3 linked regions of the Danio rerio genome follow. The protein of the gene in region 1 binds, or shares a complex with, the protein of each later gene. Links are inferred from orthologs where the notes say so. Each region holds a gene or a part of one and is shown in the gene's direction. Other genes may lie near its edges.

What was found.
Region 2: the proteins of pigt (region 1) and pigs are in contact, whole or in part, in a cryo-EM structure (PDB 8IMY), measured with the Homo sapiens proteins. The link is inferred for Danio rerio from reciprocal best matches to the Homo sapiens genes PIGT and PIGS. Residues at the interface, in NP_057021.2 of Homo sapiens: Pro26, Arg27, Val63, Ser64, His65, Tyr66, Arg67, Lys71, Gln75, Lys79, Tyr80, Val133, Gly136, Lys191, Leu193, Pro194, Cys195, Ser196, Lys198, Ala199, Glu270, Pro271, Pro273, Leu274, Tyr526, Ile529, Cys530, Cys533, Val536, Ala537; in NP_149975.1 of Homo sapiens: Thr9, Glu12, Val13, Gly16, Ala19, Ala20, Phe23, Thr230, Pro238, Lys239, Tyr244, Ile247, Glu248, Val251, Gln256, Val270, Asp271, Ser272, Gln273, Ile274, Tyr276, Tyr277, Met279, Ser309, Arg310, Ser313, Ser314, Ala315, Ala316, Phe513.
Region 3: the proteins of pigt (region 1) and gpaa1 are in contact, whole or in part, in a cryo-EM structure (PDB 7W72), measured with the Homo sapiens proteins. The link is inferred for Danio rerio from reciprocal best matches to the Homo sapiens genes PIGT and GPAA1. Residues at the interface, in NP_057021.2 of Homo sapiens: Gln91, Gly92, Phe93, Arg95, Arg97, Tyr98, Ser108, Phe211, His212, Thr213, Ser214, Asp247, Phe249, Ile250, Arg340, Gln355, Tyr357, Val358, Ser359, Gly360, Tyr361, Gly362, Leu363, Leu371, Tyr373, Lys441, Asp459, Pro460, Asn461, His462; in NP_003792.1 of Homo sapiens: Arg97, Ser98, Val99, Gly100, Glu102, Tyr104, Arg134, Ala135, Pro136, Arg137, Ala138, Ala139, Ser140, Thr141, Glu142, Arg171, Gly172, Gln173, Ile174, Tyr199, His200, Asp201, Val202, Leu212, Gln213, Gly214, Arg215, Ala218, Arg311, Tyr312.

Annotation. Positions count from the first base shown.
Region 1 is NC_133198.1:12,516,561-12,527,201, forward strand, and holds part of pigt (GPI transamidase component PIG-T), read left to right. Parts: intron 1-825; coding exon 826-923; intron 924-1,072; coding exon 1,073-1,229; intron 1,230-7,633; coding exon 7,634-7,834; intron 7,835-8,123; coding exon 8,124-8,289; intron 8,290-8,360; coding exon 8,361-8,444; intron 8,445-10,641. UniProt on the Homo sapiens protein: Component of the glycosylphosphatidylinositol-anchor (GPI-anchor) transamidase (GPI-T) complex that catalyzes the formation of the linkage between a proprotein and a GPI-anchor and participates in GPI anchored protein biosynthesis.
Region 2 is NC_133196.1:42,861,311-42,871,951, reverse strand, and holds part of pigs (GPI transamidase component PIG-S), read left to right. Parts: intron 1-1,382; coding exon 1,383-1,525; intron 1,526-3,760; coding exon 3,761-3,875; intron 3,876-3,970; coding exon 3,971-4,116; intron 4,117-7,977; coding exon 7,978-8,078; intron 8,079-8,163; coding exon 8,164-8,374; coding exon of another isoform or gene 8,375-8,554; exon of another isoform or gene 8,555-8,566; intron 8,567-8,681; exon of another isoform or gene 8,682-10,641. UniProt on the Homo sapiens protein: Component of the glycosylphosphatidylinositol-anchor (GPI-anchor) transamidase (GPI-T) complex that catalyzes the formation of the linkage between a proprotein and a GPI-anchor and participates in GPI anchored protein biosynthesis.
Region 3 is NC_133177.1:1,625,333-1,635,973, reverse strand, and holds the end of gpaa1 (glycosylphosphatidylinositol anchor attachment 1 protein), read left to right. Parts: exon of another isoform or gene 1-652; intron 653-856; exon of another isoform or gene 857-1,136; coding exon 1,137-1,208; intron 1,209-2,164; coding exon 2,165-2,361; intron 2,362-2,685; coding exon 2,686-2,856; exon of another isoform or gene 2,857-3,215; intron 3,216-6,263; coding exon 6,264-6,507; 3' UTR 6,508-7,499; downstream 7,500-10,641. UniProt on the Homo sapiens protein: Component of the glycosylphosphatidylinositol-anchor (GPI-anchor) transamidase (GPI-T) complex that catalyzes the formation of the linkage between a proprotein and a GPI-anchor and participates in GPI anchored protein biosynthesis. Binds GPI-anchor.

The DNA of each region.
Region 1 (10,641 bases):
CCTTGTTTTTACAGCAGGAAAAAAAATAACTTTTTTTAGTTTCGATGCTTTCAGTAGAGCAACATTATGGATATATCAACTTCAGCATTGTTGTGCCAGTGGTTGAATAAATAAATTTTTTGTCAGCATAATGTTACAACATTTACTCTGCTACATTTTATAAAAAAATAATTGCTCATTATTTTAAACTAATCGAATCTGAACCCACAGACATGATAGCAGCATTCGATTCAGTAATTTCTGATTCAGATGGTCCAGTCTCCAGCAAACAAACAACTCACTGATTCACTAATTCAAATGATTTGTTTAGAGCAAGCCTCAAGTTGGCAAGCAACGCACTGATTCACTAATTCAAATATTTGGTCAGAGCGAATCTCCATTTAATGATTTACAGATTCAAATGATTCAGTTAGAGTGAGTCTCTAGTTAACGACACCTTACTGATTCCACTGATCTGGTCGGTGTGAGTCTTCGGGTAATGGTTTACAAACTCAAAATATTAGTTCAAGCCGAGTCTCATGTAAGCAAGCAACTCGCTGGTTCTCTGACTTAACCAATCTAGCAAGAGTGAGTATCCAGTTAAACAACTTACTGATTCTCTAATTAAAATATATTTGGTCAGAGCGAATCTCCAGTTAGCGTTTTACTGTTTCAGATTAGGGCCGCAACAACGAATCGATTACATTGGTCAAATCACACACACCTACATTTACCTCGTGAATAAAAGGTCACTCTGTGCTGTTTCACAAGCCTCATTTTGTAGCTCCATGTGGTTTGCTAACATTTTTCCATCTGTCTATTAATGTCTTTCATCATCTCTTTCAGAATGGTCCATGTTCAAGATGTTTTCACGGACTCTGACAGAGGCATGTCCACTTGCTTCCTCTAGTAAAGTCTATGTGGACATCACAGACAACCCTGAGGTGAATCAGAAACAATACAACACTGTCCTTCTGCTTTGTGACTATATAATGTTTCTGTAAATGGGCTGGTTAAGAAGCTAGTGTGTCCCACAGGTCTGCTATCTCAGTCCGCTGTAGTTAACAAGTGTTCTGTGCTGTTTGTCTTACAGGGGGAGCTGTTTGAGCTCAGTCCTGTTACAGCTCTGCTCAGCCAGGCTGTGGTTCTAGGAGATCGCAGGACATATTCAGTCTATGACTTGACCAGAGCTGAAACATTTGGACAGTTACGCTCACTCAATCTTCTGCTGCGCTGGAAAGGAGAGAGCGGTATGATTTTGTTTGGCCACATTTACACTGCACTGTTCAAGTGACTTTATTATGATTTTTTTCTTCCATGTGGCACAGATCGGATATGGCCCATGTAGGTGTAAGCAGGAACAAATCATATGGATTCTGATTTACTCAAATCAGATCCGGGCCTTGTTCATATGTGGAAATTTATCTGAAATAAATCAGATCTGTGTTCTCGTGTCTGCAGTGTATGCAGGTAGATCGGATTTTCACCTGTCAATGTGAGTCGCGCGTCATTTAAAACTATAGAACAGACTTAAGCAGAGTCCGAAACTTTAAATCTCATACCCGAGGACTTAAACAGCTTTTACATTGTCATATAGCACAGGTATTTAAGCATGTTCACCAGAGCGAGAGAGCGCAATTTCGGCCACGTAACCAATACAATCTATTATAAAACTAGTGCATGCATCACGTGCATAAATCACCCCATAGACATTACATTAAGATGCCTTAATAGGTTATAAAAGCCTATATATCAAAAGAAGATGGACAAATGGAAACCTTTCTGTCAAAACAGCTTGTCAAAAGCTGCAAACAGATCACACACAGGAATAGAGAAAAGAGCACTCTTCAATTATCTGCTGTTTAGTCAGCGTTCACCTTTTTTTTTCCTGGTCATTGCGCCTTTGCCGTGTGCTGTGTAAATGCAGACGATCAGATACGAGTCACTTTTAAGTTGATGTAAGCAGGTCATCAAAAAAATCGAATACAGACACAAAATCAAAATTGACCATCAAGATCTGCAGCCTTTGGTGCAGTTGGGTGGTTTTACTTTTTTTTATTCTGGAGGCAGTTCTGGAAGCCTTTACAGCAGAATTCGTCAAGTTAAATGTCTTTTTATCACAGTAATCATTTCAGAGACGTTACGTTTACCCTCCTGTTGACTTAAGTGTAAAAAATGACCCAGGCACCATTTTTAAAACAAACAAAAAAAAAACATTGTTTAGGTTTTTTTTCTGTTTTTTTATTTAGAAATCTGGTGACTTTTTTGTAAAATGACCTCAAACATAAAAAAAAATAAGAATAGTTTTCTATTTTCATGATGGCTGCACACATTTAGGCTACAACATTTTTACTAGGGCCAAACAGAATGTGCAGACATTTTTTGCTGTTCCTGAATAAAATTTAGTAAAAAAATCTGCGTATTTATATGGAATGATTTTGGAAGTATCTAAGCTAAAAACTTTATATATGAAATAAAAATAATCCCATTTTAACTTTTATTTAAAATTTACAGTGCAAATCCAATTAGATCCACTTAATTGGTAAACAAAGCAAGTTTCTCATATAATGTATATCTACTAAAAGACAAACTGTATTGTAAATAAATCAAATGAACTTTGCATATTAGTCAATAACATTACTAAAATGAATAATACGACAAAACATACAACAAAACAAAATAAATATAATTTGACACACATTTACACATCTAAATAAATAGGCTCAATGATGGGCTAAAAATCTGTGGAAATTTGCAGATTTCTGCACACGCAGATTCCGTGTCATACTACCCATAAGCTACCACAAAAAGTACTAGCAAACACATGCATACTCCTACACATACATGCACCCAAACATACACACAATGAGAATCTGCTGTTTTACCTTTTATGAATACTGTCTTCCTAAACGTTTTGCAGGTACTTTTAGCATTAGAAAAATATACCCTTTTACTTGAGTTAAAAATGAGTGTTGTGTTCTGATTAAACATGGATGAAAAACTCCAAACTAAAAAGGGAAAACCTAGATATTCCCAACGTTTGTTTTGATAAATTTGAGGTTGTGTCTTCTCACAAAATAGAGGATTGAAGTCAACACCAATAGATTAGTGATTAGAGCGACGACATATAATGCTGAGGTGCTCACAACGACCTGAGATCTTGGCTCAAGGTCCTTTGCAGATCCTTCCCTTTCTCCATTCCCCACACTTTCCTGTCTGTAATCTCCACTGTCCTGTCCATTAAAGGTGAAAACCACGAAAAAGAGGATTTAGGACTGAAATTAAATTAAGCTGCTTTATTTTAAAGGGTTGGTGACGGCAGGTATTTTTTATGGAGCCAGATCAGTGTCAGAAATAATACATTTACAAAATGAAACTCATAGATGCACAGCACAAGTCCCATTTACAAAATCCAATTTGTAAATCTGAAAACACAATTTGTAAATTCACTTGTAAAAACCATTTATTTTTACCAAATGAACTGGAGTTGCATATTTATGATTTGTGTTTTGAATTTATAAATTGGATTTGTGTATTTTTAAATCATGTGTTGAATTTACAAATTGGATTTATGTTTATGATTCGTATTTTGAATCTATGAGTAGGATTTGTGTATTTTCGATTTGTGTTTTGAATTAACTAATTGGATTTGTGTACTTATGAATCATGTTTTGAATTTATAAATTGGATTTGTGTTTATGATTCATGTTTTGAATTTACGAATTGAATTTTTTGTTTATGATTCGTGTTTTAAATTTCCAAATAGGATTTTGGTATTTTCGAATTGTGTTTTGAATTTACAAATTAGATTTGTGTTTATGATTCCTGTTTTGAATTTATGAATTGGATTTGTGTATTTTCGAATTGTGTTTTGAATTTACATATTGGATTAGTTTATAATTTGTGTTTTGTATTTACAAATAGAATTGGTTTAGTTTTGAATTGTAATTTAAATTTCCGAATTGGATTTGTGTATTTTTTAATAGAGTTTTGAACTTACAAATTGGATTTGTGTATTTTCAAATCGTGTTTTGAATTTACGAATTGGATTTGTGTTTATGATTCGTGTTTTAAATTTATGAATTGGATTTGTAATGAATCATGTTTTGAATTTCCAAATTGAATTTGTGTATTTTTGAATCGTGTTTTGAATTTTCAAATTGAATTTGTGTATTTTTGAATCGTGTTTGAAATGTACTATTTGGATTCGTGTATTTTCAATTTGTGTTTTGAATTTACGAATTAGATTTGTGTATTGTCTAATCGTGTTTTAAATTTACAAATTGGATTTGTGATTAATCATGTGTAATATTTTGCTGCGTTTATTCTCCACCATTGAACAATGTAGCAAATGAATAATAATGTAGATTAACTTTGCACGCATATCTACATTAATAATCTGTAACAAATTATAATGTAGATTAAAGTGGTCGCATATCTACATCATTATTTCTGTAATAAATTAGCTCAAGGTTTATCTTCCCGCACCTTTTCCACCGTTATAATGTTGCGAGTTATGATTTAGATTACAGTGCTCGCGTATCTTCTGCACCATCATATATATAGCGGATTAGCCTAACAGGAGGGAGATTCATTTGAACGGGGCTTCAAATAAATCGTCTCTTTAGATCCGAACAAATGAATCGTCCAGCGATGCTATCAAAATAAAAACCCATTAAGTTTGAGCAGGGTAACAAGATTGAAGTTTAAGACATTCGATTCATAAATATACACAGACACCTTTCTTTATACAAAATTAAACTTTGACTAATCTAACAGAAACTAACACCTAACACAAACACACATTCATACAAGTGTTGAGGAGAGTAAAGAAGGTAAAATGAGAGGTTGAGAGAATGTAATGATGGAAAACCTCTGAGTTTGTAAGAGCAAACCCAACGTAATCAAATTCACCCTTCTGTTGTCTCTTTAGGTTTGCATTTAGTTCACACCAGTTCAGATGTAGACAAAAGTGGATACTTGCGTCTGTCTATGTGATGTATAGAAGCTCCCTTGGCTGAGCACGTGGTTCTGCTACGTGGTTCCTTTTTCTCGCGAGGGTTGGAGTGGGATGAGTAGGTGTTTGAAGTTGAAGCGGCAAAAGGGACCAGTTGTGCTGACCACTGACCAACTTAAGTAGACTCTCAATGGAAAATAAAGAAAAGAAAGTAACTTAGATGTGTAGGTCCGAGCTGTGCGATTTAACCCTTTCCGTCTAGGTCTCCACCTGCTTTCTTGGAGGTTTCTCTGCTTAGGTCTCGATCTTAGGTCGTTGCAGATTCAGAGAAGAGAATTGAGAGAAGAGTGCTTTCTGAAGAAGTTGCAGAGAGTTGAAGAGGTTTCAGAGCAGAGAGTTTCAGAGCAGAGAGAGGGCGTTACTTTAGTCCCAAGCTTTATAGGGCGGGTTCGGATCCACCCTCCATGGAAAGTTGACCAATTAGAAACTAACCTCTCTGCATCATGGTTTATGGCGCTTTGTCCGAGGCAGAGGAATTTGCATAGGCAAATTTTATGCAAATCGGGGCAGAAATGTTAAAGTCTCTTAAAATGTTAATATGTTGCACTCGTATTAACATAAAATGTCAACAATTAATTAGTACAGCAAGTAAGTATTAAAACCAATAATATTGATACAGGAGCAAGGGAAACATTGCAAAACACATGATTACACACAAAGAGAGAGTAAAGTTTACATTAAAATATCAGTCTTCAGCAATGAGCTTAAAAAAGTCCTGAACCGCTCTTTGTTCAGTGTTGCATGGCACATTCCTTTTGGGTCATAAATACCATGGAATCAGGTTTCGAGTCTTCCCTGGGCAAAAGTTGGCTCATTTGTTAAATAAAAAGCAAAATAATTATGTGTGTGGTCAGCCATATTTGTGACACATGTTTTGAATTTACAAATTGAATTTGTGAATGATTTTTTGAATTTCTGAAATGGATTTGTGTATTTTCGAATCATGTTTTGAATTTACGAATTGGATTTGTGTTTATGATTTGTGTTTTAAATTTACGAATTGGATATGTGATGAATCATGTTTTTATTTTATGAATAGAATTTGTGTATTTTTGAATCATGTTTTGAATTCATGAATTGGATTTGTGTATTTTCCATTTGTGTTTTAAATTTACGAATTTGATTTGTTTATAATTCAAGTTTTGAATTCATGAATTGTATTTGTGTATTTTCAAATCATGTTTTGAATTCACAAATTGGATTTGTGATGAATTATGTTTTGTATTTACGAATAGAATTTTTGTTTTTTTGAATCGTGTTTTGAATTTACGAATTGGATTTATGTATTTTTGAATTGGATTTATGTATTTTTGAATTGTGTTTTGAATTTACAATTTGAATTTGTGTATTTTTAAATCGTGTTTTGAATTTACAAATTGAATTTGTATTTTTGAATCATGTTTGAAATGTATGAATTGGATTTGTGTATTTTCGATTTGTGTTTTGAATGAACCAATTGGATTTGTGTACTTATGAATCATGTTTTGATTTTATGAATTATATTTGTGTATTTTCAAATCGTGTTTTGAATTCACGAATTGGATTTGTGTTTAAGATTCGTGTTTTAAATTTACAAATTGGATTTGTGTACTTAGGAATTATGTTTTGAATTTACTAATTGGATTTGTGTACTTAGGAATCATGTTTTGAATTTACGAATTGGATTTGTGTATTTTCAAATCGTGTTTTGAATTTACGAATTGGATTTGTGTTTATGAATTGTGTTTTAAATTTACGAATTGGATTTGTGATGAGTCATGTTTTGAATTTACAAATTGAATTTGTGTATATTTGAATTGTGTTTTGAATTTACGAATTGAATTTGTGTATTTTTGAATCGTGTTTTGAATTTATGAATTGAATTGGTGTATTTATTAATCAGGTTTTAAGTTTACGAATTGGATTTGTGTATTTTCCAATCAGGTTTTGAATTTAGAAATTAGATTTTGTGAATGTGAATTTTGTTGTAGATCTATGAATTGTATTTGTAAATGTATTGTTTTTTGAGACTGATCTGGCTCCATACATTTTTGACCCAATGTACAGTGTGTACAGAATTTAGTAACACTTTACAATTAAGGTTGCATTAGTTAATGTTAGTTAAGACATTTACAAACATAAACAAACACTGAACCATAAATTTATTAAAGAACTTGTTCTTGTTAGTTAGTTGATAAAAATACAGTTGTTCATTGTTAATTAATATTAACTCATATTAAAGCATAAATTTGGATTTTAATAATGCATAAATGTTGCATTATGATTAATAAATTCTGTACAAGTATTGTTCATACTTAGTTTATGCTAGAAAATTAATTAACTTATGAAACCTTATTGTTAAGTGTGACCGAATTGAAAAACAACAGCAGGGTTATGTTCAAAAAATTACATAATGCTGATTTAGATAAAACATTAAATTACATTCAAACATTAAATATTCAATGCTACTGGGACTTAAGTCAAAAACAAATAGAGAAAACACTAAATTATTACCTGTGGCTCCTTATCATTCTTTCAGGTTCTGATTGGCCTTTGCGAAAAAGATAATTTGCAGAATTGATACCTTTAAATCCACATCTGTGTTTATTTATCATCACTTAAATAGGTGAATTTTTCTTGTGTTGGTTGTCATTTTAGGTGATATGCTGCGTCCGCTGCTGCATGCAGAACGCTATGTGTCTGGTTTTGGGCTGCAGACGGGAGAAATCCACACAGTCATCTACAATAACCACCCGTTTCGGGCGTTTCCTGTACTGCTGATGGATTCAGTGCCCTGGTACCTGCAGCTGTACATTCACACGCTCACAGTCACCAGCAAGAGCAGAGAAAACAAGCCCAGTGAGTTCATTTTGTTTACTGGATACGCCAAAGTTATATATATGATTTGTATGTGGATATAGCTTTTAGGGCAGTTCTTTGATTATGGGAAGTTTTCAGATTTACTATAATATGTAATGTGCAAAATATTATACAATATTTATATAACTGTTCTAAATTAGATTTCCAGTACTAAACCAAACACACACACCAACAAAATCTAAGAATCATTAGATGCTTCAATTGTATCAGATCAGACTACATCCATGGTAAAGTTAACAGAACTAACATTTCATGCTTTCTCCTGTAGGCTACATTCACTACCAGCCGGCTAAAGACCGCCACCGTCCTCATCTGCTGGAGATGTTGATTCAGCTGCCCCCCCACTCCATGACAGAGATCACGGTGCAGTTTGATAGGGCTCTGCTCAAATGGACTGAATACACCCCTGATCCCAACCATGGCTTCTACGTCGGGTAAGACTCCTGTCATATTTTGAAATGTATGGACTTTGCAGTGTCTACATCTGATTTATGTGTTATTACAGATCTTCTGTGGTCAGTGCCCTTGTGCCAAGTATGGTTGCAATGAACACCAACTTCACGCTGGACCAGCCATTGTTTAGCAGTTTGTAAGTATAAACTAGCCTGTTGTGACAGAAGTATGAAATAAATAGACACTTTTTCTTCCAAATTCGTGCACTTAAACATTTTCATATTATCATTTCATTTACATTTTCATTTTATGTCATAAAACATTTTAAAATGGTATTAGTTGGTATTTTCACACACAATTTTACCTTTTATAGGTATTGTTTTTTTAACCTAAAGTATGCTTTTTAATGGGGCTTTGTGTAGAATTTAGGGATGCTCATAATAACCGATTCACTCTTAACCGAAAGAGTGTTTTTAACTGATTTACCGTATCAGTTAAATAATAAAAAAAAACTGTATTATTGTTTTTTTATAATTGGCTGCATAAATGTGCAACACATATTTGTTCGCTTGGGGGATGGTAACACGTGTCTACAGACATATTTTGCCAAAGAAGCGAAATGAAAGAAGAATATTGCTGGTCACAGTCTGACACAGATAAGTTGATGCCAAACCAGCGCTGATGCTGCTTGCCTCTTTCCTGGATCCACGTTATAAACACTTCTGTTTATTTGCGCAATTGAAGAAAGAAGCCACAAAACAAAACTTTCTGAAATGTGCTCTGCTTTGGAAACAAGCCGGCCATAAGTCGGAGGATCAAAATTTTCTCTCCATCAGAGCACGCTCCTTTCATAAACACAACAAATAGACTATAGTTGTGCTAATTTAAGCCTAGTTCACACTACAGGATTTTAAGCCTGATTTGGAAGTTAACGAGCTTGCCGATGGATCAGGCTGGGATTGGGAAAATTTCTGCGGGTGCACGGCGCTCGCCAGTCTTTGTGTGAACTACTGAACAACACATCAACGAGGCTCGCTGACGCGTCGCCAACACCTCGCAGACGGAAATCCAATATTTAGCATGCTGAATATTTCAGAGCAGTCGGCCGACTCAACCCCACATGTGGTCAGATGTAGTGATGAGCTGCAGCCAATGAGAGAGGATATCAACATGAGCTGAATGCCTGTGTGCTCAGGAGCTCAACAGAAACATCTGTGATTGGTCAGAATGGGCATCGGTGCACTCGCTTCATTCTGCGTTAACACAGACATGAGAGTAGGGTATATTAACTGTGAAACTAGAATTCTGTAACTATTAGAATTACCATACTGGTCATTCTGACCGTTCTCATATAAAACGTCATATTGTCTCATCATATTTACATTCAAAGCTTCTATTGAGATAATAAAATTAAGCTTTAATTGTCTGGCATCATATTTAATGACACCATTACCCTAAAAATATTATCTTTTTTTGGTAATACAGCCTATAAATATGTAGTTAAAATACTAAAACACGCAAAGGTCTTGGCTTTCATTTTCACTTTCGAACAGGAGCTATTTCGTGGCACAAAATATGCTGTTTTGAAAGATATCTGAAGTATATTGATGTTTTTGCTATAAGAAAGATTTGTTCATGTTAGCAGGAAGTTGCTAGGCAAAAAATGCACACATATTTAAAGTCACAGCAAAAAGTATCAGACATGCATGCAGTCATTTTGACCAATATGGTAATTAAAGGTACAAATGCTCAGTCCTTTACTGTTTTGTAATTAAAAAAAAAAACAATGTTAGAAAGAAATACACTGATATTTAGAAAATCTCATGGTGTTATAGATATGTTAGTTTTATTTCAAAGAGTTATAAAATTACAAAAATAAAAAACTTGCAGATGATTGATAATTCACTGATGCATCAGCTGGGATGTTTTTAAATGCTTCCTTGAAAGCTTGAAACGCTGTCAGTGATGTAATCAGCACACAAGCAGCTAATAATGCTCAGCTTGGTCTGAAGACTCCTCCCTCAAAATTTTATTGGCTGTGGTTTGGTAGCTTGAATGAGCTGTAGTGTGTGACCCCCCTCTTGTGGATCATTCACGTAGTGTCGCGTAGTGTGAACACCACAGCGATTAAAAGACACAAAATCAAGTCATGAAAGAAAGGCACAGCAATCTGCCGATGTTTAAAATCCTGTAGTGTGAACTAGGCTTTAGTGTACAGCCAACTAACCAACTTTTTTTCATACCAAACTGAGGCTTTTAGTTTATAACTATAAAGACATGTATGCAAATGAATGCAATATCATATGTAAACAACAAAATTGTTATATGCTATAGTAGCCTCTACTTTACATATGCGCCTTGTCATTGTCTTTCATCACACACATAAACTGCGA
Region 2 (10,641 bases), on another chromosome or scaffold:
AATATTTCGCCAAACAGTCCTTAGGGATGCGGTGACACGCAGTCAGATATTTTGCAGAACAGATCCGCCACTTTTGGCGCTCAAAAACAATCATAAAGCTCTCGTGCTGCAGGAATGAAGAGGTCTGCTGAAGCCGCGCAGCTGTCGTGCTGTGAGGAGTTCTCGTCTTTAATAAACGACGGCAGTTTGTGTTCACTGAACAGTAAGAATGATTAATAAATCCATATGAAACAGCCCCTTAAAAGTCACGTCTCGCTTTCAGTTTCCCAGTTATATGTATATATATATATGTATATATATATATATATATATATGTATGTATGTATGTATGTATGTATGTATGTATGTATGTATGTATGTATGTATATATATATATGTGTGTGTGTGTGTATGTATGTATATATATATATATATATATATATATATATATATATATATATATATAAAGAGAATTATTAATTATAATAATGATAATAATAAGAGGAAAAGAAAAATGGAAACGAGTAATATTTTACTATTTTTTTTCTCTTTTGTAAAAAAAAAATGAGTAAGATAATGATATGTAAATATTTGTACTGATATAGTGTTTTTTTCACAATAAACAATTTAAACATAAAAATTATAACTTATAATTCAGACTCAACACAGCATATACTTGCAATGTGAATATATTTGAATGATCACATTGCGATATCGATGCTGAAACTACATATTGTGCAGCCCTACTGAACAGCGACATAATTTGCATTCATCTGGAGCTTTCAGTTAGTTACCATCCCATAAATGGATCAACGATTTTTTTCTCATCAAATCTTGACTAATCAAATGCTCTCTAGTATCTGACATGTCCCGCCCCCTTCAAGACGCTTCTCATTTGATGCTCTTGAGCTAAACCACTCCCACTGGCAGGGCTGTGATAAAACAAAACACTATTGGCTGTTTTTTTAAGAAGGGGACTGGGTTCTCTGTGCCCCACATTGTCTTCATTTTTCAAAACATCCAATAAAAAATGCACATTTAAAAGCATTCCATGGGACCTTTAAAGCACCATTTAAAAAGGTTGTTCAGCCCAAAAATGAAAATTGAGATCATTTACTCATCCTCCACTTGGTCCATATCTGTTTGAGTTGGTTTCTTTTGTTGAACACAAAGGAAGATATTCTGAAGAATACTAGAAAAAACAACAACCATGATTTCCTTATTTTGTTCCTACTATAGATGTCAATGGCTTCTTTTCTACAACATTCTTCAGTATATCTTGTTTTGTGTTTATCAGAATAAAGAACTAACAAAAAATTAGAACCACTTGAGTGAGTAAATGATAAGGATATTGTAACTGAATGGGTGAACTATCACTTTAATCACATTTTACCTTCTCTTAGGTTATGAGATCACTTTCAGTCTGTTAAACCCCGACCCGAAGTCACACAGTCTTCACTGGGATATCGAGGGTGCTCTTCATAGCTACATTCAGCCGTTATTGAACAAACTCGCTCCTATTGCCAACTTTTCAGTGGATTCTCAGGTAACAACAAGACTGTAGTTTTTGTGGGAACCTACAAATGACATTAAATTACTTTATGGTTGGCTCATATGTTGTTATTTAGCAGTAGAAACTTCAGTGTACTGTAGTGTTTATAGCACTGTATATTTGCATGGCTGTTAAAGCTGCTTTGATTGTTTTTTTTACCTGCTTGAGACCAATAAAGAAACATGGAGTAATGCTAAAATGTAGAGCAGGAGTATATTTATTTAAAGAATACAGGCTATATTCATTCTGTCTTGATTTAGGGTCAGATTTCTTCACTTTTCTAATGTTAGTAGAGTATTTGTGTTTGTTTAAACCAGTGGTCACCAAACTTGTTCCTGGAGGGCCGGTGTCCTGCAGATTTTAGCTCCAACCCTAATCAAACACACCTAAACAAGCTAATCAAGGTCTTACTAGGTATACTTGAAACATGCAGGCAGGTGTGTTGAGGCGAGTTGGTGCTTAACCCTGCAGGGACACCGGCCCTCCAGGAACGAGATTGGTGACCCCTGGTTTAAACTAATTTCAGTCTGTGTATGCAGAGCTCAGCATATATAAGTACACCCCATTTGAAAATGAATATTTTATCCATTTCTCAGTAAATATAGGCAGTGTATTTTGCTGCATTTAAACAAAACTGATTTATTCAACAGATATATTTATTAAAATAATATTTTGGTCACAAAACAACTTTAGAAACGGAAAGATAATGAAATTAAATTAATCTGAAATTTTGGAAAAATAAATTACAAACTGCAAAATTTGAACAAAATAATTTTTTGTTTCTCTAGATTTTTTTTTTTTCCTTTGCTATTTTTGAAAATGTTTTTTTTTCTATATTTTTCTGTAACATAAATTTGTGCTACTAATTTTTGTGTAAGTTATTTTGTTACATAAGCTCCAAATTTGGCTTCAGTACAAATTTTATGTTCATGCACAAATATAATATTGTAATGTTTTCTATAAAAAAAATATTCATTTAAATGAGAGATTTGTGAGGGGTGTAAATGTGTTTTTTATGTATTAAGTAGTCTTTATATATTAATTATGAAACTTTTTTGCACAAAGACTATTTTGGTGTGCATTATTGAATGTTCATGTAAAGTAATATTATAATAAAAAAAAATATATATGTTAAATATGAATGATTTATTGGCGAAGCAGTGGCGCAGTAGGTAGTGCTGTAGCCTCACAGCAAGATGGTCTCTGGGTCGCTGGTTCGAGCCTCAGCTCAGTTGGCGTTTCTGTGTGGAGTTTGCATGTTCTCAATGCGTTCACGTGGGTTTCCTCCGGGTGCTCCGGTTTCCCCCACAGTCCAAAGACATGCGGTACAGGTGAATTGGGTAGGCTAAATTGTCCGTAGTGTATGAGTGTGTGTGTGTGTCTGGATGTTTCCCAGAAATGGGTTGCGGCTAGAAGGGCATCCGCTGCGTAAAAACTTGCTGGATAAGTTGGCGGTTCATTCTGCTGTGGTGACCCCGGATTAATAAAGGGACTGAGCTGACAAGAAAATGAATGAATGAAAAAATTATTTATTATAATAACTTTTTTTTTTTGCATTTAAATTACTTTATAAATTTAAATTAGTTTATTCAACTTATAGTTACCCATAAAGATGTTTTGTGTGGTCATTAATATTTTGTAGATTTTTTTTTTTTACTGTCACAGTTTTTATAGAACCTGAAAGAAGAATCTGAAACACACACAAGCTGTATTTATTTGCTCAAAAAATACAGTGAAAACAGTAATATTGTGAAATATTATTGGAACTTTTCAAATGAATGTATAATAATAAACAAAACAATTTATATGTAAAACATGGTCATCAAAAAGCATTTCTTGAAATGATCATCATCAGTGTTGAATAGGATTGCACAATTTTGTAGTGATTTGTTTTTTAACTATGATAGACTAATTATAATAATCCTAGGGTGAACTTCAATAATAATAATAATAATGCTCTAAAATACTGTTCAAATAAATGTGGTCAAGGTGGTAATCAAAGAACAGATTCCTGAAAGAAAAAGATTCGTTTTTAACATTGATAATAATCAAGTAATAAAAATTACTTTAATTCAATTAAATAGTTTATGAAAAATCATGTGAGATTAAACTGACAGATCAGCTTTCAACCACAGGAAAAAAACTATTTTAAAATGTTTAGATAGACATTTTTTATTATTACATTGTTTAATCAAATAACCTTTATAACATTTGTAATTATTTTTTTAGATTCTGTATTATGCAGTTCTGGGAGTGAATCCTCGTTTTGATAACAGTGTGTCGGCCTATACACTGAATGCGGACAGCCTTTCTCATGTCATCAATCCCGTGGAGGCCAGACTAGGTGAAATATGATTCTTTTAATTGACATGAACTGATCTAAGGAAATATTTCTATTCTTATTTAATTTGACACACATTGCTATCGTCTTTCACACAGGATCTAACGCTGCTTCCTCAAACCCCGTCCTAAACTTCCTGCTGTATGTGCCAGATGCCCATCACTCTCCTCTGTTCATCAGAGACCACAGCAGAAGAGAGGTGCCCACCAATGCCTTTCACAGCCCGCGCTGGGGCGGCATCATGGTACTGTTCTAAGATTTACCTTTTTGGGGGGGGGCTACATGATGTATTGAATATTTTCCACATTATGGCTTAAGAATGAATGGGTTCAAATTCAGAAATACCTAGAAAATGTAAGGTTCTATATGACTTTTTGTTAAATTGGAGATGTAAATATTATCATTACTATATATTTATTATTTTTTATTAGGGCTGTCAAAATTAACGTGTTAACGCACATGATTAATTTAAATTGTTTAACGCGATAAAAAAAAGTCAAAGTTTTTATTTCAAGTTGTGGCCGACGTGTGTTTCACGTGCAAAGAAATATGGATAAGACCGAGGAAGCGCTTTTAGAATTAAAGTTTCGTATAAAACAATTAATGCCGCATCACCAGGCTATCCAGCGTTTCCTCCAGAGTTTCATTTTTAATCTTTAGACTTTAACTGCAGTTCAGCAGTTCACTTTCATTCAGCAACATATTGTCCATGCCCCGTGGCAATTACTGAATGAAAATATGAAGTAAGCGCTGCTGGAAGAGTGCTATTTGATAGAATTTGATACCGCATGGCGAACGGAAAGAAAAATCTCTGCATTTCGAGACTCGGGTGGTCCTTTAAGGTAATCAAAAAAATCGCTGCTTACATGCTAGACTCTTAATCAGAGTATTATCTTAATCATAATACATCGGAGTATTTATGTCCATGTAAATGTACTTCGTGAAAGTGCCATATGATGTTGCAAGTTGTCAAAGACAGCCCATTTCTCTGCCTTTAAGTTGATTCCATGCGCCCTCAAATGTTTCATTAGGTTTGCCGTGTTTCCCCACCACACACAACATTTGTAAAGCATCTGCTTCACGTTGCTGTGTCAGAATCTTTGCTTTTAAAATACAGCCTTACTTTAGAACGCTTAGTTTAAGCAAATTTGATGAATGCGATCGTGCGTGTTGATGAATCTGAAGGGAGTCACTCACCGGGTGCGCATGTTGTCTGTGTGTGTGTGTGTGCAATTCCTTGCAACAAGAGGAAACGCCTGACATCGCTGACTGTGTCGAAAGTCTCTTTAAGGCATTCTACATGTATTCTGTAGTGTTTGCTGTGTCCGCATCCCTTAAAGCTGTTTAGAATTAAATGTTTAGAGATGTTGAGATCAAAGTCCCTGTAAGAAGTCTATAAGCTTTGGTACGTGCCGGTTGATGTATCCCCTGACCACATTGTCTCCTGATAATGTCAACAGACTGTACTACCTTAGCAACTGGCTAAATGTTCAGGAGGACTAAGCAAAATTGTTTCTACTTTATAAATAACGTTCTCAACTCATAATACAACTTTACAATGAGTACAATTGTTTGTGTTCAATACTTTATCATTATTATAATTTTCTATTTTTCCATATCTTCAATGCCTGTATTTTGGATTTTTTTTATAATCCTCTTAGAATCCATCTTGGAAATCATTTTTGTTTGTTATTGGCACTGATTGTTTTGAAATTCAAATGGCACTTACATGCCTGTGTTTTTATTTTTGTAATAAATATGGCGTTTTGCGATTTTAATCATGATTAATCACAAAAATAGTGATTAATTAGATTTTTTTTATCAATTGACAGCCCTATTTTATATATTTATTAATAAATACAATTAATCATAATATGTATATTATTTTATAGACCTATTAATTCTGGTCAAAAACAGCGTGAAAGTGGAAACGTAAAGACTTTTAAAATCTTTTAAACTCTCTTCCCGTCATGGTTTATTGGGTAAATCCAAGTATGAACACCTTTTTTTTAAAACACCACGCATTTTTTTTCTCCACAAATCACTTAGTCCTCAGCATTTCTAAAAGCTTTAAGTATGTTGTAAACTGGTAGCCACTGACTGGCTTTTATATGGATTTGAGTAGATTTGAATGTGATGTTTTTATTTAATTTTCAAATAGCCCTGTTTTTTTTTATTTTGTTTTATTATTATTTTTGCGTCCTACACAAGTCTAGGGGAATACAATGAACGCAACAATATTGGTTTTATTTAAAGAGCACAAAACTGGTACCAGTCACAACACAACTACGGGTAAAAAGATCAAAAAAACTATTTACAAAAAATTTCAGTCACGCACAATGTAGTTTAAGGAAGCTCTAGCTTCAGGAGGGAAATAAGGCCAAAATAATAAACAAAAACGGGGTTCTGTCTGGGTGTAAAACCTCTAAATAAACTTCAAGACAATGATGAAAATTAACAGCAAAACTACACTGACTCCCTGACTGACCTCAAAACAGGAGAAAAAGGGAAAGGTCATCCAGCTCCTTACTGCTTCCTGGAGGAAAAGGCAAAATAAAGAAAAAAAGTTTAAATCGTAGTTCTGCTCTTAGCCACAACAGAGAAGAAGTACAAATCATCAACAAGTCAGATTTTAAATCACAAAAGTTCAACTTTCCAACAGTTCACAACAACTTTAATTTAACTGAAACTCAGCCAGTGCTCTGGAGAATGGTTCCTCTCTCGCTCCATTCTCAACATCCAATTGTTTGGCCTGTGTTTTAATCCCCTCTCACTCCTCCATGGTAAGTGAACACAGCTGTGGGAAGCAATCAGCAAACTGCTTGAAGCTCCGGCCCCGTTTACACTTATGCATTTTAAAACACATAAGTTTTGCCAGTTACGCCATCTATTAACACTACGTCAGAGTTTTCGAGCGCCGAAACCGGAGCATTTTGGAAACGCTGAAGAGGCCGTTTTCATCCTAAAACACTGCTGCTCTGTCTCAGTGTGGATGGGGGAAAACAGAGACATCTGAAAACGGAGGCTGGGCTGCCGACATTCGCCTACCTGATTGGGGGTTTTCATCAATATTAAGTAGTCTAACGTTACACACAGTTCAGTCCTGCATCCTCTTCTTGTAAGTTCAGACTTTGCCAGTTTGATATGGAAAACAGACTCCTGAGGACACGGGTAAATCTTCAAAGGGGAACAGTGTACTTTATAACCTTCACATCAACCTGTCTACGTTGTTTCAATTTCTCAACAATAAAATGAAAACTTGATATAAGCAACTGCCTGTTTTCATTTTGATATTAACAACTTAGCAGAAATGCTGAGGTGTTGTGCAGCATAAATGAGCGTCATTTTCACTTAATGCATATTTATAACCAAACGGAGCCTATAACAACTGCCTCCTTTCATTTTCAGTGAAAATAAGACACATACCCTCTCTTCTGCTGAATATCAGTTTTAATAATCGATAACGGCCATTATAAAAGTATAACATACAATAAGTTTATACATTATAGGAAATAAAGGCAAGTGATCAGTCAATATACAGAAACTGTACGTGGTTACATTAATTATGTACTTATCTTTGGGCTCAGCCAAAACACGTTACCTGAGAACAAGTAATAGATTCAAAAGACCAAAGTCTGGGAATACGTCGTTAGATAAAGACAACAAGATGAATGAAATATCGCATTTAAGAAAAATATTGGGATTAGATCCAGCGGGAGATGCATGATGAGCAGTCTGAAGAGCACAGCTTTCATCTGGGTAGATGGGCTGCAGCGAATGCCCGAGTGTGTGTGTGGTCTCATGATGTGCGTTTCAGTTGTTTTGGTGTGGATGGAGAGCTGTTCAGAAATGCTGGGTGAAACGCTAGTGTGGATTACGGGTCGTTTTCATTCTAAAACGCTGTTTTTAAACTAAAACACACTAGTGTAAACCGGGCCTCAGGAGGGGAGGCATCAAGGCAAAAAAGAAGTGGGAGAAAGACATTTGACACAATATAAACACACAGAGTTTGGACGATACATCTCTAAACGTAACATTATTTTGTAAATTGTTCCATGTGAAATATTAATGTTGCAAACAGCCCTGTATTCATCTCAATCTTTAGGTGTACAACGTGAATGATCTGTACGGCCCTGAATCTGAACGTCCTGTCGATATCAGCATTAACATGGCTAAAGTGATGGGTGTTTTCCTGGCACAGTTACGGTTAGTTCTTGACCGTCTGACTTCACAAATGCCTGCTTTGCCCAAATGAACGTGTTTCAAGTCATCCCTCATTTGGTGTTTTCAGGCTCATGTTGGGTGTCCACCAAACTCATCCTCCATCAGGCTTCGTTCTTCAGAGTCCTGGCAGCGCTGGACTGGCCGACTGGGAGCTGGACAGGCTGATGTGGAGCCGCAGCGTGGAGAACATTGCCACTGCCAGCACCACCATCACCTCTCTGGCTCAGCTGCTCGACCAGATTGGAAATATCGTCATTAATGACAACATCGCACTGCAGGTGGGAGCTCTGCATCTTTATATTTTCATAGCACCAATATTGGTATATTCCAAACAACGCAATATCACTTTTCCACAGTTTTGTGATGCCTTCTGCTTACTCGCACGGTCATACAAGGGGTTGTTATGGTGCTATGGCGCCCCTGACGCCGGATATCTGTGTTCGTCGTCCTCTGTTTGAAACAAAGCACAGGTGCACTTGAGATGTATGTCAGGAGCACGACACCCATAGAAAGCACATCACACTTATAAATGCCCTCCTTATACTGACACTGAGGACTTTTTTAAAGCCATTCCTGTATATGGAGTATGAGGGAGCTCTCAGATTTTGTCTAAAATATCTTAATTTGTGTTCTGAAAATTAACAAATGTCTGAAGTGTTTGAATTAATGTGAGGGTGAGTAATTCATTAATAGCAGTATTTTCATTTTTCATTCATTCATTCATTTTCTTGTCAGCTCAGTCCCTTTATTAATCCTGGGTCGCCACAGCGGAATGAACCGCCAACTTATCCAGCAAGTTTTTATGCAACAGATGCCCTTCTAGCTGCAACCCATCTCTGGGAAACATCCACACACACATTCACACACACACTCATACACTACGGACAATTTAGCCTACCCAATTCACCTGTACCGCATGTCTTTGGACTGTGGGGGAAACCGGAGCACCCGGAGGAAACCCACGCGAATGCAGTGAGAACATGCAAACTCCACACAGAAACGCCAACTGAGCCGAGGCTCGAACCAGCGACCTTCTTGCTGTGAGGCAACAGCACTACCTACTGCTCCACTGCTTCGCCCGAATTTTCATTTTTGGTTGAACTAATCCTATAAAGGTGAGCTACCTTTATGGTATCTGAAAACACAGGACGGGTGCAACTAAACTAAAACTTAGCCGGCCATGCCAGCTAATCCAGCTTCATAGCACAGGACCCAGTTGTAAAAATCCACACATTGAGACTTGTTTAAGATGATGAACTCCAGCAAATGAGCAGTGCAGCTTTCATTTAAATTTTAATATTTGAGCATGTCTTAAGATTTCTCTTTTACCAGTTTTAGCAGTTAGATGATCTCCGGGACTGGTGGGGAGCACTTTCATCTTGGCTCAGCATAGGAGATTTTCAGGTGCTGCCTAAATCATTAGAGATGTTTGTGAAAGACGATTCAGTACTGCTATCTTCAGGCACCACATAATATCATTGTGCCTGCTGCAGCTTAGTGCACAGTGTAAATATAAAAGAGTCTAAAAAGTTTAAACGGGGAAAATTATAAAAAAATCTTTGCTCATTTTTGAGTGAGATGCTTATGGTCTAATCCAGTGGTTCTCAAATCTTTTTCATCAAGTACCACCTCAGAAAGAAATTGTCTCTCCAAGTACCACCATGAGCAGTATTAAAATACAGTAGCCCAGTAGGCCCAATAAAGCAGCTACAGCTCTGCACAGTTCAAAAATGTGGCAGATTAATTCCTATTATTAAGAATATTTATTATTGTCAGCCACTTTAAACATTATAAATAGTCTGATTAACATCGAATGTGCTTATATGTAAAATACAAACAAACAAAAAACCTAAAAACGTCAACATAAAAATTAAATTGTGCTTTTAAAAGTTAAAATTGGTAGGTTACTGTACTTAAAAAGTAAAAAAAAAAAACTGCTGTACTTAAATGTACAGTACATTACATATAGTAGCCAATATAGTAGCCAATTCATCAACACCTGGAAATATTGCCTGGACCTTAGAAATATATGCTCTGTCATCATATTCATATGTAATTCATTTTTAATACATTTTGAAATATATGTAGCATGTACATATGACATAATTCAGGGCTCGAAATTAACCTTTTTGCTTGGTAACACCGGTGCTCCTAACTTAAATTTAGGCGCATCAGCCAAAATTTAGTCGCACCCACCAATTATGAGCACCGTTACTACAAGTTTTATACAAACATATTTATTGTATTTGAAATCAACACTAATCAAACTAACAAGCAAAAAAAAAAATCATATATAACGTTATATGCAAGCGTGAGGAAAATATGTCTCAACAAAATCCCGTTATCACAAGAAAATTAATTTTTATAACATAACTGAGTGACCAAAGCATACACGGAGCGCTCACCGGCCCTGCACGCACCGCTTGAATTAACGTGTTAACGGTATAACTAGTAAGATGTGTCATTATTTGTAACTGTAGATGCCATGGTTTCTAAAACAAAATCTGTCAAGTGTTATGTTATCTTCATTCTCATCTTCAGCGCT
Region 3 (10,641 bases), on another chromosome or scaffold:
ATTCTTCAAGTTTGTGTAATTTACAGATTTAATCAGACAGATGGAGGATTCGTTTCCAAGTGTCTTCATTATAAGGCTTAAGTAGTGAGTTTGCTAATGAGACATTACCTTCCCACATGAAAAAATACTATATTGATTTAACGCAAACACTGTAGTCTTATTGAACCAAGTGTATTATGCTGCGTATACTGTAGTATTTCTAACACTTTAAATTATGCTACAGCATTCTGTGATACTAGCTGTAGGAAGTGAAATAAATACTGTAGTATACGTTAGATTTACTGTTGTAAACTGGTTTATTGTTGTGTAATATACCCTATAATCATAGAGCAATACGTTATTGATTCATTTGTTTACATTACTATAGTTGTGTTACCATAGCAACTGTAGAATCACCACCACAGATCAATTACTATAGTCGTTGTTACCCTAGCAACTGTAGTTGCCACAACAGATCAATCACTATAGTTGTTGTTACCATAGCAACTGTAAAATCGCCACAACAGATCAATCACTATAGTTGTTGTTACCATAGCAACTGTAGAATTGCCACAACACATCAATCACTAAAGTTGTTGTTACCCTAGCAACTGTAGAATCGCAACAACAGATCAATCACTATAGTCGTTGTTACCATAGCAACTGTAGAATCGCCACAACATATCAATCACTAAAGTTGTTGTTACCCTAGCAACTGTAGAATTGCAACAACAGATCAATCACTATAGTCGTTGTTACCATAGCAACTGTAGAATCGCCACAACATATCAATCACTAAAGTTGTTGTTACCCTAGCAACTGTAGAATCGCAACAACAGATCAATCACTATAGTTGTTGTTACCCTAGCAACTTTAGAGTTGCCACAACAGATCAATCACTATAGTCGTTGTTACCATAGCAACTGTAGAATCACCACAACAGATCAATCACTATAGTTGTTGTTACCCTAGCAACTGTAGAATCACCACAACAGAATAATTCAAGCACTTTACTGTAGTATTTATTTAAATTTGGATGATCCTCTTATGTGTACATATTATTATGCGACAAATCTCTTTGTGCAAAGTTTAATTTGTGATGATATTTCTTTAAATGAGAATATAATCATGTGTTAGAATCCTTAACTTTCTTACAGGCGTTGGATCTCTGGGTTCATCTGGGAGCTCCTGTCCTGTCAGAAGTAGATGGAGTCAGTGAAGCCGAGCAGGTGAGTCCTGTGCTAGAGTATTATATGTATATATGGGAGGGATTACATCGCAAGTAGGTTGGGTGACCTCCAAGTGGGAGGGACTTAAACCACAAGTAGGTTGGATTTAAGTGGTGTAGGTGGCGCAGACACTAATAAAACACGTCAGGTTACTGTAAGGTTGGGTTTAGGGTTGGAGTAGGTGTAGACATTTCATAAAGCACATTATTGAACTCTAAATATGACTAAATAAATAAAAACTCCAGGTTTGCACAGCAAACTTGGATCTCGAACGCCCACCCACTTAGAGCTCAAGTCCCACCCACTTGGAGCTTAAGTCCCACCCACTTGGAGCTGGCTTCGACCTCCGTTTATACCCTTCTCATTCCATCTGACAAGAGAGGAAGTCTGATAGGGATGGTTTAGAGATTATTTCATATCTAATGCAACATTTTGTTTGTTTGTTTTTATTGTTAAAAGCTAACTAAAAATTAAATGTTTCAATTAAACACTGTAAATTAATCAGATTTAGTTTATAAATCTGCATACTGGCACCTGACGGATAGAGGCAAATCTAGGCCAAGGCAGATTCTGCTTGACTAGTGTTTTCAGCATTGAGCTCCACTGTTCACTCTTATGTTTTTATTGCAGTAAGTTCTCATTTTAAAAGCTATACTGAATTAGTTTATGCCATTTAAAGTAATGTTTGTATTTATTTTTTAATACTATGAAGTGAATTAGGAAAATAGCCATGGCTACTTTAATGTAATATGGTTTGGTATATTTACCTTCGGCCCATGGCTCATGATGATATTTGTTTTGTGGGCCGTTAAATGAAAAAGTTTGTGCACCCCTGGTCTACACTGAAGCTAGTCACATGAGAAGTGCTCTGCAAAGTTTATAATATGCTGCTAATACTCTATATGCCAGCTCCGTGTGCAAAGACATCAACCGTTGTTTTCTGTGTTTGTTTACAGCCGTCCAGTCCAGGGGTGTTGTCCGTGTTGACCCCAGTCGTGATCAGTCACCTGACTGGTGTGGCGCTGTATATACTTCCTGTTTACCTGCAGGACATGGCTGTGGAGCACTTCCCTGTGTCCGAGACCGAAGCTGTGGTGCTGACCGCTCTTGCCATCTACACTGCAGGCCTGGCACTGCCACACAACACACAGCGGTAGGGCTGCACAATGTAGTGATTCAGCATCAATATCGCAATGTGTGCATCTCCAAGTCACATCGCAGGATACGCAATGTTGAGTCTTAATTATGCATGACCACTACAGGCATGTATTTATTGTATTTAACTACAGTATTTATACGATAAACTAATGAAATTAATAAGTTAAATGAACTCATATAGTGTGGAACCCTGCATTTTTGTGCAGCGTACGTCAACAGATGAAGAGAATTAGTTTTACTTAGGTCATGACCAGTTTATAACTGTGCTCCATCTTTATCCGCCATCATGTATCCTGCTTTTGTGTGTGCGCGCGCGCAGGTTGTTGTCTGGCGAGGGCACGGAGCAGGGCTGGAAAGTGCTCAAGCTGACGTCTTTGCTCTATCTAGCGGTGTTGTTGGGCTGCACTGCGCTCATTAACTTCTCGCTGGGCTTCATCCTGGCCGTCACACTGGTGCCAGTCACTGCCAGCATCACACCACACATGCTCAAGTAAGACTCGGCAATCTTATATAGCAGTTTACAGTTAGGTGCATAAATATTTGCGCATCGAAACAATTCGAACATGTTTGGCTTTATACACCAACAGAAATGAAACGGCTGTCCGCTTTAATTTGAGGGTATTTACATCCAAGTCAGGTGAACATTGTAGGAAATACAACAGTTTGCATATGTGCCTCCCACTTGTTAAGGGTCCAACAGTACTTGGACAGTTGGCTTCTAAGCTGTTCTATCGGTTACGGTCCACTCTCAAGATGAGATGCAAAGAGCTGTCACTATCAGTCAAGCAAGTTATCATTAGGCTGAACAAGCAAAACAAACCCATCAGAGAGATGGCAAAAACATCAGGGGCCTCATGTATCAACACAAAAGCTTTGCGTACGCCAGGTTTCAAGCTCAGAATGGCTCACGTTTGGATTTACTAACGATGAACTGAACGTGGGAATGTGCGCAGCTCCACGGCAGCTTTATGGCAGGCGTACGCACATTTTTTGTGCGTGTCTGTTTTATTTCCATTGGCGACTCCTAGAGGCAGTTGTGTTAAATTGCACTCTACAAAGTGTCAGAGCCATGCAATGGCAGCTGTATGTGACGGGTTCATCTAGTAGGTATGTAAGATTTCCATACCATACAGTTGACCAGCTAAACATTAAAGCACAATTTGCAGCAGTCGCCTGTTTTCCCAATGTAATCTGAGCTATCTACTGCACACACATCGCTATAAAGACACTATCTGAAGATGAATTTGCATGCTTGAATCAGAAATATTTCCATTCAATAAATGTGCAAATAAAATATGATGCACAGACTTATTAATGATTCCTACTTGTCTTTCTCGTGATAAATAGTTGGCAAAATCTGATATGTAGCGGGGGAAAAAAGAAGAGTTCATCAGACGCTGGATTCGAACCGAGTTCATGCTCGAACGTGTCCAAACATGTTGACATGTGCTTTACGAGCTGCGCCACTGATACTGTTAAGGGTACAGCAACATTGTACACCTATAAATCACACTATTTCTTTTTTAAATGCACTCAGTGCGATGTTCAGACTCAACTGTGTTAACCACATCAGCTAAACTCTCCCACTCTATTTTTTCTTTTGTTGTTAATTCCGGAGAACAAACGTGCAAATAACACCGCTTTCCTCCGGTCTACCGCCGAAAGCAGCACCTCAATTCACATTCTGTTCAAAGTTTCTCTTCTTGCTTGCTTTTGCCGTTGCGTTTTCGTTGGGTTTTGCCAAAGTAGAGTCATTAGCATATTCATACGGGGGAGGAGGCAGGGAGGGGTTTTGCGCTCGTGCATGTTGCGCTCAGTTTCACGTTCATTCAGATGTACAAAAGAATATGGGTGAGATTCGGCGTACGCATCGTTTCATACATCTGAATTTTTTCTGAATACGCACATTTAAAGCTTTGTGCGTACGCAATGTTTTAGTATGATTTCCACGCAAGTCTTCGTACATGAGGCCCCTGGTGTGGCCACAACAACGGTGTGGAGCGTTCTTATAAAGAAGGAACGCACCAGTGAGCTCAGCAGCACCAAAAGACCATGAAAAACAACTGTGAACGAAAACCAAAGAGTCTTTCTCTGGTGAAGAAAACACCCTTCACAGCAGTTGGCCAGATCAAGAACACTCTCCAGGAGGTAAGTGTATGCGTGTTAGAGTCAACAGTCAAGAGAAGACTACACCAGAGTGAATACAGAGGGCTCACCTCAAAATGTAAACCATTGGTGAGCCTCAAAAACAGGAAGGCCGGATTAGAGTTCTACAAAAGCCTTCACAGTGCTGGAACAACATCCTGTGGACAGATGAGATCAAGATCAACTTGTATGTGATGATTCAGTGATGAGAAGAGAGGAATATGGTGAAGCAAGAGAACTGCTCATGATCCTAAGCAGTGAAGCGTGTTTTTGAAGGGAAAGAAGTGGAATGCTGTGCAATGGCCAAGTCAATCACCTGATCTGAGTCCGATTGAGCATATTGTTCACTTGCTGAAGACAAAGCTGAAGGGAAAATACCTCAAGAACAAGCAGGAACTGAAGACAGTTGCTGTAGAGGCCTGGCAGAGCACTGACAGAACTGAAACTCAGCGTCTGCCGATGTTTATGTGTTCCAGACTTCAGGCTGTAATTGACTGCAAAGGACTTGCAACCTTGTATTAAAAAGTGAAAGTTTGACTTATTGTTCTGTTCAATTGCTTTTGGTCCCTTAACAAGTGGGAGGCACATATGCAAACTTGTAATTCCTACTGCGATCACCTGATTTAGATGTAAATACCCACAAATTAAAGCTGACAGCTGCAGTTAAAGCACACCTTGTTCATTTCATTTCAAATCCATTGTGTTGGTGTATAGAGACCAGAATGTTAGAATTGTGTCGGTCCGAATACTTACGGACCTAGCTGTGTATATTTATATATTCATTATCTGACAAAAGTCTTGTCGCCTATCCAAGTTTTAGGAAGAACAAATACTAACTTGACTTCTAGTTGATGATTTGGTGTCAGAAGTGGTTTATATGAAAGGCGAACGCCTCTAGATTTTGCTTGTTTGATCACAATAAAATCTGATCATGTCTTGATGTTGACTGATTTGATGAGGACAGTGCGGTCTGACTCTGCTCAGACTAAAGTGTCATCACTGAACAGAAATAATGTCCAGTATAGAATATAAAGTCCTGCTGCAGTGGAGACAGAATGAATATTGTGTCTGACTCCATCATGAGCTTGGAGGACTGCATCCATACATCTCTGACATGACTCAAATCACTGATTAATAAAGTCATCTGGAATGAAGAAGAAAGCGTTCAGCAGGACTTCCAGAGTTCATCAAGATCCTTTGTGTTCATCTTCAACGCCTCCTTCTCCATCTTACCTCAGACATGCTCAATAATGTTCATGTCTGGTGACTGGGCTGGCCAATCCCGGAGCACTCTTTGCTTTCAGGAGCTTTGATGTGGAGGCTGAAGTATGTGAAGGAGTGCTGTCCTGCTGGAGAATTGTCCCTCTCCTGTAGTTTGTAATGTAATGGGCAGCACAGATGTCCTGATCCCTCAGGCTGTTGATGTTGATCATCCACTCTGCAGATCTCTCCATACTGAATGAACCCCAAACCATGATTTCTCCTTCACCAAACTTGACTGATGTCTGTGAGAATCTTGTGTCCATGCTGGTTCCAGTAGGTCTTCTGCAGTGTTGATGATTGGGATGCAGATCAGCAGACGATCCAGCAGAGAAATCCACCTTCTGACACTTCTCCAAGTGATCAACTAGAAGTCGAGTTATTATTTGTTGCTCTTACAACTCGGATCGACAATCACCATTTACAGTTTTGATCAAAATATTAGTGATCAGTACTATCTCTAATCTGCACGTCTCCTGTTGTGTGTGTCAGATCTGTGAGCGCTCTGGCCATGGTGCTCCTCAGTCCAGCGTTCACCATCTTCTACTGCGTCCTCATCTATCAGGAGCTGATGGAGGCGCCGGTCAGCCTTCCTGAGGGACTCACGATCTTCCTCTCCGTCATTTCTCAGGGAATCCTCGATCACGCGCTCTACGGGTCGCTCGTCTATCCGCTTTTAGCGCTGTTCGTTTATCCCTGCTGGCTGATGTTCTGGAATATTCTCTTCTGGAAGTAAACAAGTGAAAGAGCAAAAATGATCCAAAATGATCAGACTCTTAAAGGTTTGTTGTCTTTCTGCACTGCAAAATTGCCTTCTTTCCTAGAGTTTTGGTCTGGTTTCTAGTCTAAATGTCTGAACATTCACAAATTAAGAAGCGTTTTCTTGACAACTACAAAATATTGTCTTGTTTTGAGAAATAATGAGTCAAAATTAAGTGAGTTTCTCCTTAAAGCAAGCAAAATAATCTGAATATCGGGGAGGAAAATAATATAATGTCACAAGGAAAAACATGATTATTTTACTCCCCCCATTGGCAGGTTATTTTGCTTATTTTAAGTAAAACTCACTTATTTTTAACTCATTATTTCTTTAAACAAGACAATATTTATTATTTGTCTAAGAAAATACTTCTCAATTTATGCATTTTTAGATATTTAGACTAGAAACAAGACAAACACTGCAGGTAAGAACAGTATTTACTTGCCGTGTACAGGCATTGTCTACCATTAGGAGCTGCTGGATGAAGATGTAAGAGGACGTCAGGCCCAAATAAAGAGGATTTTGTTGGTAAGAGTTTGAGTATTGAGCGTTCCTGTTTGCAGGAGGGTTTATTTCTTGCATAATTAATATAATAATACATGACTTTGTCTTTCTGACATGACTATTTGACTTTTATCAAACATGACTGCATGTGTGAGGACAGAAATAAAGACTTGCTTAAGAGAAACGTGCAGATTTATTCAGAAATGAATTGATAATATGGCATACTGGTTCATTTATTACATTATTATTATTATTATATTATAAAATACTACACATAGTTTGGCATTTGAACCCTGATATCCTGAATTATTTTATTTTTTTATTTTTTTATATGTATTTAAAATCTCGGCTTTGTAATTTAATATGTCTGTGAACTTAAATGTTAAAAATGCCATCTTGTTTTGGATTTAATTTCTTCATCGCATAATTTGATTATTGTTTGTCATTAAATAATAACTTTTAAACGTGTTGTCTGAGTTGCTGCTGCATATTTGTTCATGTGCTAGAAGCTAAAAGGGCGTCCACAAAGCTAACGTGCCCGTATATTAATAATATTAACAAAGCATTCATTAGGAATGGACAAACCTGAGGGAAAATTGTATGGCTTACGTTGATGTTTAAGTGAACTGAACGGTGAATGACAGAGAAAGAAAGCAAGAGAGAAAGAAAAGAAAGAGGAAAGTAAAGAGAATAAAAAGAGAGAGAGAGAGAATTGAGTGGGGGAAAAGAGAAAAAAGCAAACGAGAAAAGAATGAGAGAGAAAAATTGAGAGGGGAGAAAAGGAAGAGAATGTAAAGGAAGGAAAGAAAGAAGAGATTGAAACTGATAGAGTAAAATAGCTAAGGGAAAAAGAGAAAGAAAAAAAGCAAAAGAAAATAGGTAGAGAGAGAGAAAAGAAAGAAAATGAGAGGAAAAGGAATGAAAAAAGTAAGAGTGATAGAGAGAGAAAAATCGAGAGAAAAAAGAAGAGAAAAAAGAAGAGAAAAAATTGAAAGACTGAGGGAAAAGTAATGAAAAAATAAGAATTAAACTGAGGGGGAAAAGAGAGAGAAATCAAGAGAGAAAAGCAAAGAACGAATGAAAGATAGAAATTGGGGGAAAGTAAGTGAAGAAAAAAGAAAATTAAAAGGAAAAAGAACGAAAAAGATCAAGAAAAAATGAGAGAGAAAAAAGAAAAATTGAAAGAAAATAAGGAAAAACGAATGAAAAAAGTAAGAATTAAAGAGAGAGAGAGAAAAGAAATGAAAAAGAGAAAGAAAGATTGAAAGAAAAAGGAAAGAAAATGAGAGGGAAAGGAAGAATGAGGAGAGAGGAAAAGAAAGAAATTAAGGGGTAAAAGAGAAAAGGAAAGAGAAAATGAGCAAATAAAAGAATTCAACAAAGTGAGAGTTAAAGAGAGAGAAAGAAAAAAGCAAGAAGGAAAGAAAAATATGAGAGAAAAAATGCATGTGAGAAATGGAAAGAGAGAGAGAGAAGAAATTGAGGAAAAGAAGGTCATTTTAGGCTAGCGTACAAAAGGCCTTGATGGGGAAGGTAATGTCTGGCACTTTTAAATGACTTTTCATATCAAATATTGAATGTAATATATTTAAAGTCAGAGGGAGCTTCTTCATATGAAATAATTCTATAACACTAATATGATGGATTTATACTAAAGTGTGTTTATGTTACACATATGTCCAATAATTTGCATAATTCTGAAGTACAATACAAGGGTCATCACACTGGAATAGATCATATATATTTGAATTATTCGCCCCTCTCTGACATCTTTTTCTTTGTTAAAATATTTCCCAAATGATGTTTAACAGAGCAAGGAAAAAGTGAAAAAATCAGGGGGGCTAATAATTCTGATTTCAACTGTATGTATATATATATATATATATATACAGTTAAAGTCAGAATTATTAGCCCCCCTGAATTATTAGCGCCCCTGTTTATTTTTTTCCCCAATTTTTGTTTAATGGAGGGAAGATTGTTTCTGCACATTTCTAAACATAATAGTTTTAATAACTTATTTCTAATAACTGATTTATTTTAGCTTTGCCATGATGACAGCACATAATATTAGACAATATATTCTTCAAGACACTTCTATACAGCTTAAAGTGACATTTAAAGGCTTAACTAGGTTAATAAGGGTAACTAGGCAGGTTAGGGTAATTAGCATGTTATTGTATAACGATGGTTTGTTCTGTGTAGAATATCGAAAAAAATAGCTTAAAGGGGCTAATAATTTTGTCCCAAAAATGTTTTTTAAAAAATTAATAACTGCTTTTATTCTAGCCGAAATAAAACAAGTAAGACTTTCTCCAGAAAAAAAAATATTATCAGACATACTGTGAACATTTCATTGCTCTGTTAAACATATATATATATATATATATATATATATATATATATATATATATATATATATATGTATATATATGTATATATAAAATAAGGAATAGAAAAATTACCAATCATACAGGCAAAACGTCATTAAAGGGATAGTTCACCCAAAAATTAAATCAATCTGTGTGCGGGTGAGTAAATAAACAGGAAATGTTCAGTTTTGGGTGAATTCTCCCTTCAAATTCCAGCCAGTTTGTCATCTTTCTCTGTGCCTAATAATTTATTCTGTTACTTGAGTTCTTGATTCTATAAGGCAGTGATCCTCAAACTTGTTTCATCAAGTACCACCTCAGAAAAAAAATAGTCTCTCCAAGTACCACCATAATGAGCAGTATTGAAACACAGTGGCGCAGTAAGCCCAGTAAAGCAGCTGAAGCTCTGCACACTTCAAAAACGTGGCAGATTAATTCCTATTATCAAGAATATTTATTATTGTCAGCCGCTTTAAACAGAAATAGGCTGAACGTTAACACTGCACTGTGCTTATATGTAAAAAAAACAAATTAAAAACGGCCACATTTAAATTAAAATGTGCTTAAGGTAAAAAGAAAAGTGCTGTACATTTACATTTAGTCATTTAGCAGACGCTTTTATCCAAAGCGACTTACAAATGAGGACAAGGAAGCAATTTACACAACTATAAGAGCAACAATGAACAAGTGCTGTAGGCGAGTTTCAGGTCTGTAAAGTCTAAGAAGGAAAGTATTAGTTATTTTTTTATATTTAAGTACAGTTAGTGGTATGTCCAGAGAGGCAATTTGCAGATTAGGAAGTGAAGTGGAGACTAAATAGTTGAGTTTTTAATCGTTTCTTGTAAAGTACTAACAAATATAGCCAATACATCTACACTTGAAAATTTGCCTGGACCTTAGAAATATACAAGTGGTGCTCGCTGCAGAGCCATTTGGGCGAGCTGAGCTCCAGCGAGGGGGAGCTTGAGCTTGAGCTCCACCTTTTTTGCACTTCTTCGAGTGATGTCACTGGGGGTAGGGTTAGGGGTGGGGTTGGTGTACGCATTAGGTGCGTTCGACTTCATGCAGCGCTGCGCAGATCAATCGAAATCTGTCTTAAAGCGGTGCATTCTGGTTAGAAATCTTGTCCGAATTGATGCTGCGACGACGCCACGTGACTGTCACATGTGGCATCAAAGTACCGCGACAGCGCTCCGAGATCAGACGGCAAACTCAGACCGTGCAGCTTCTGAAGAGG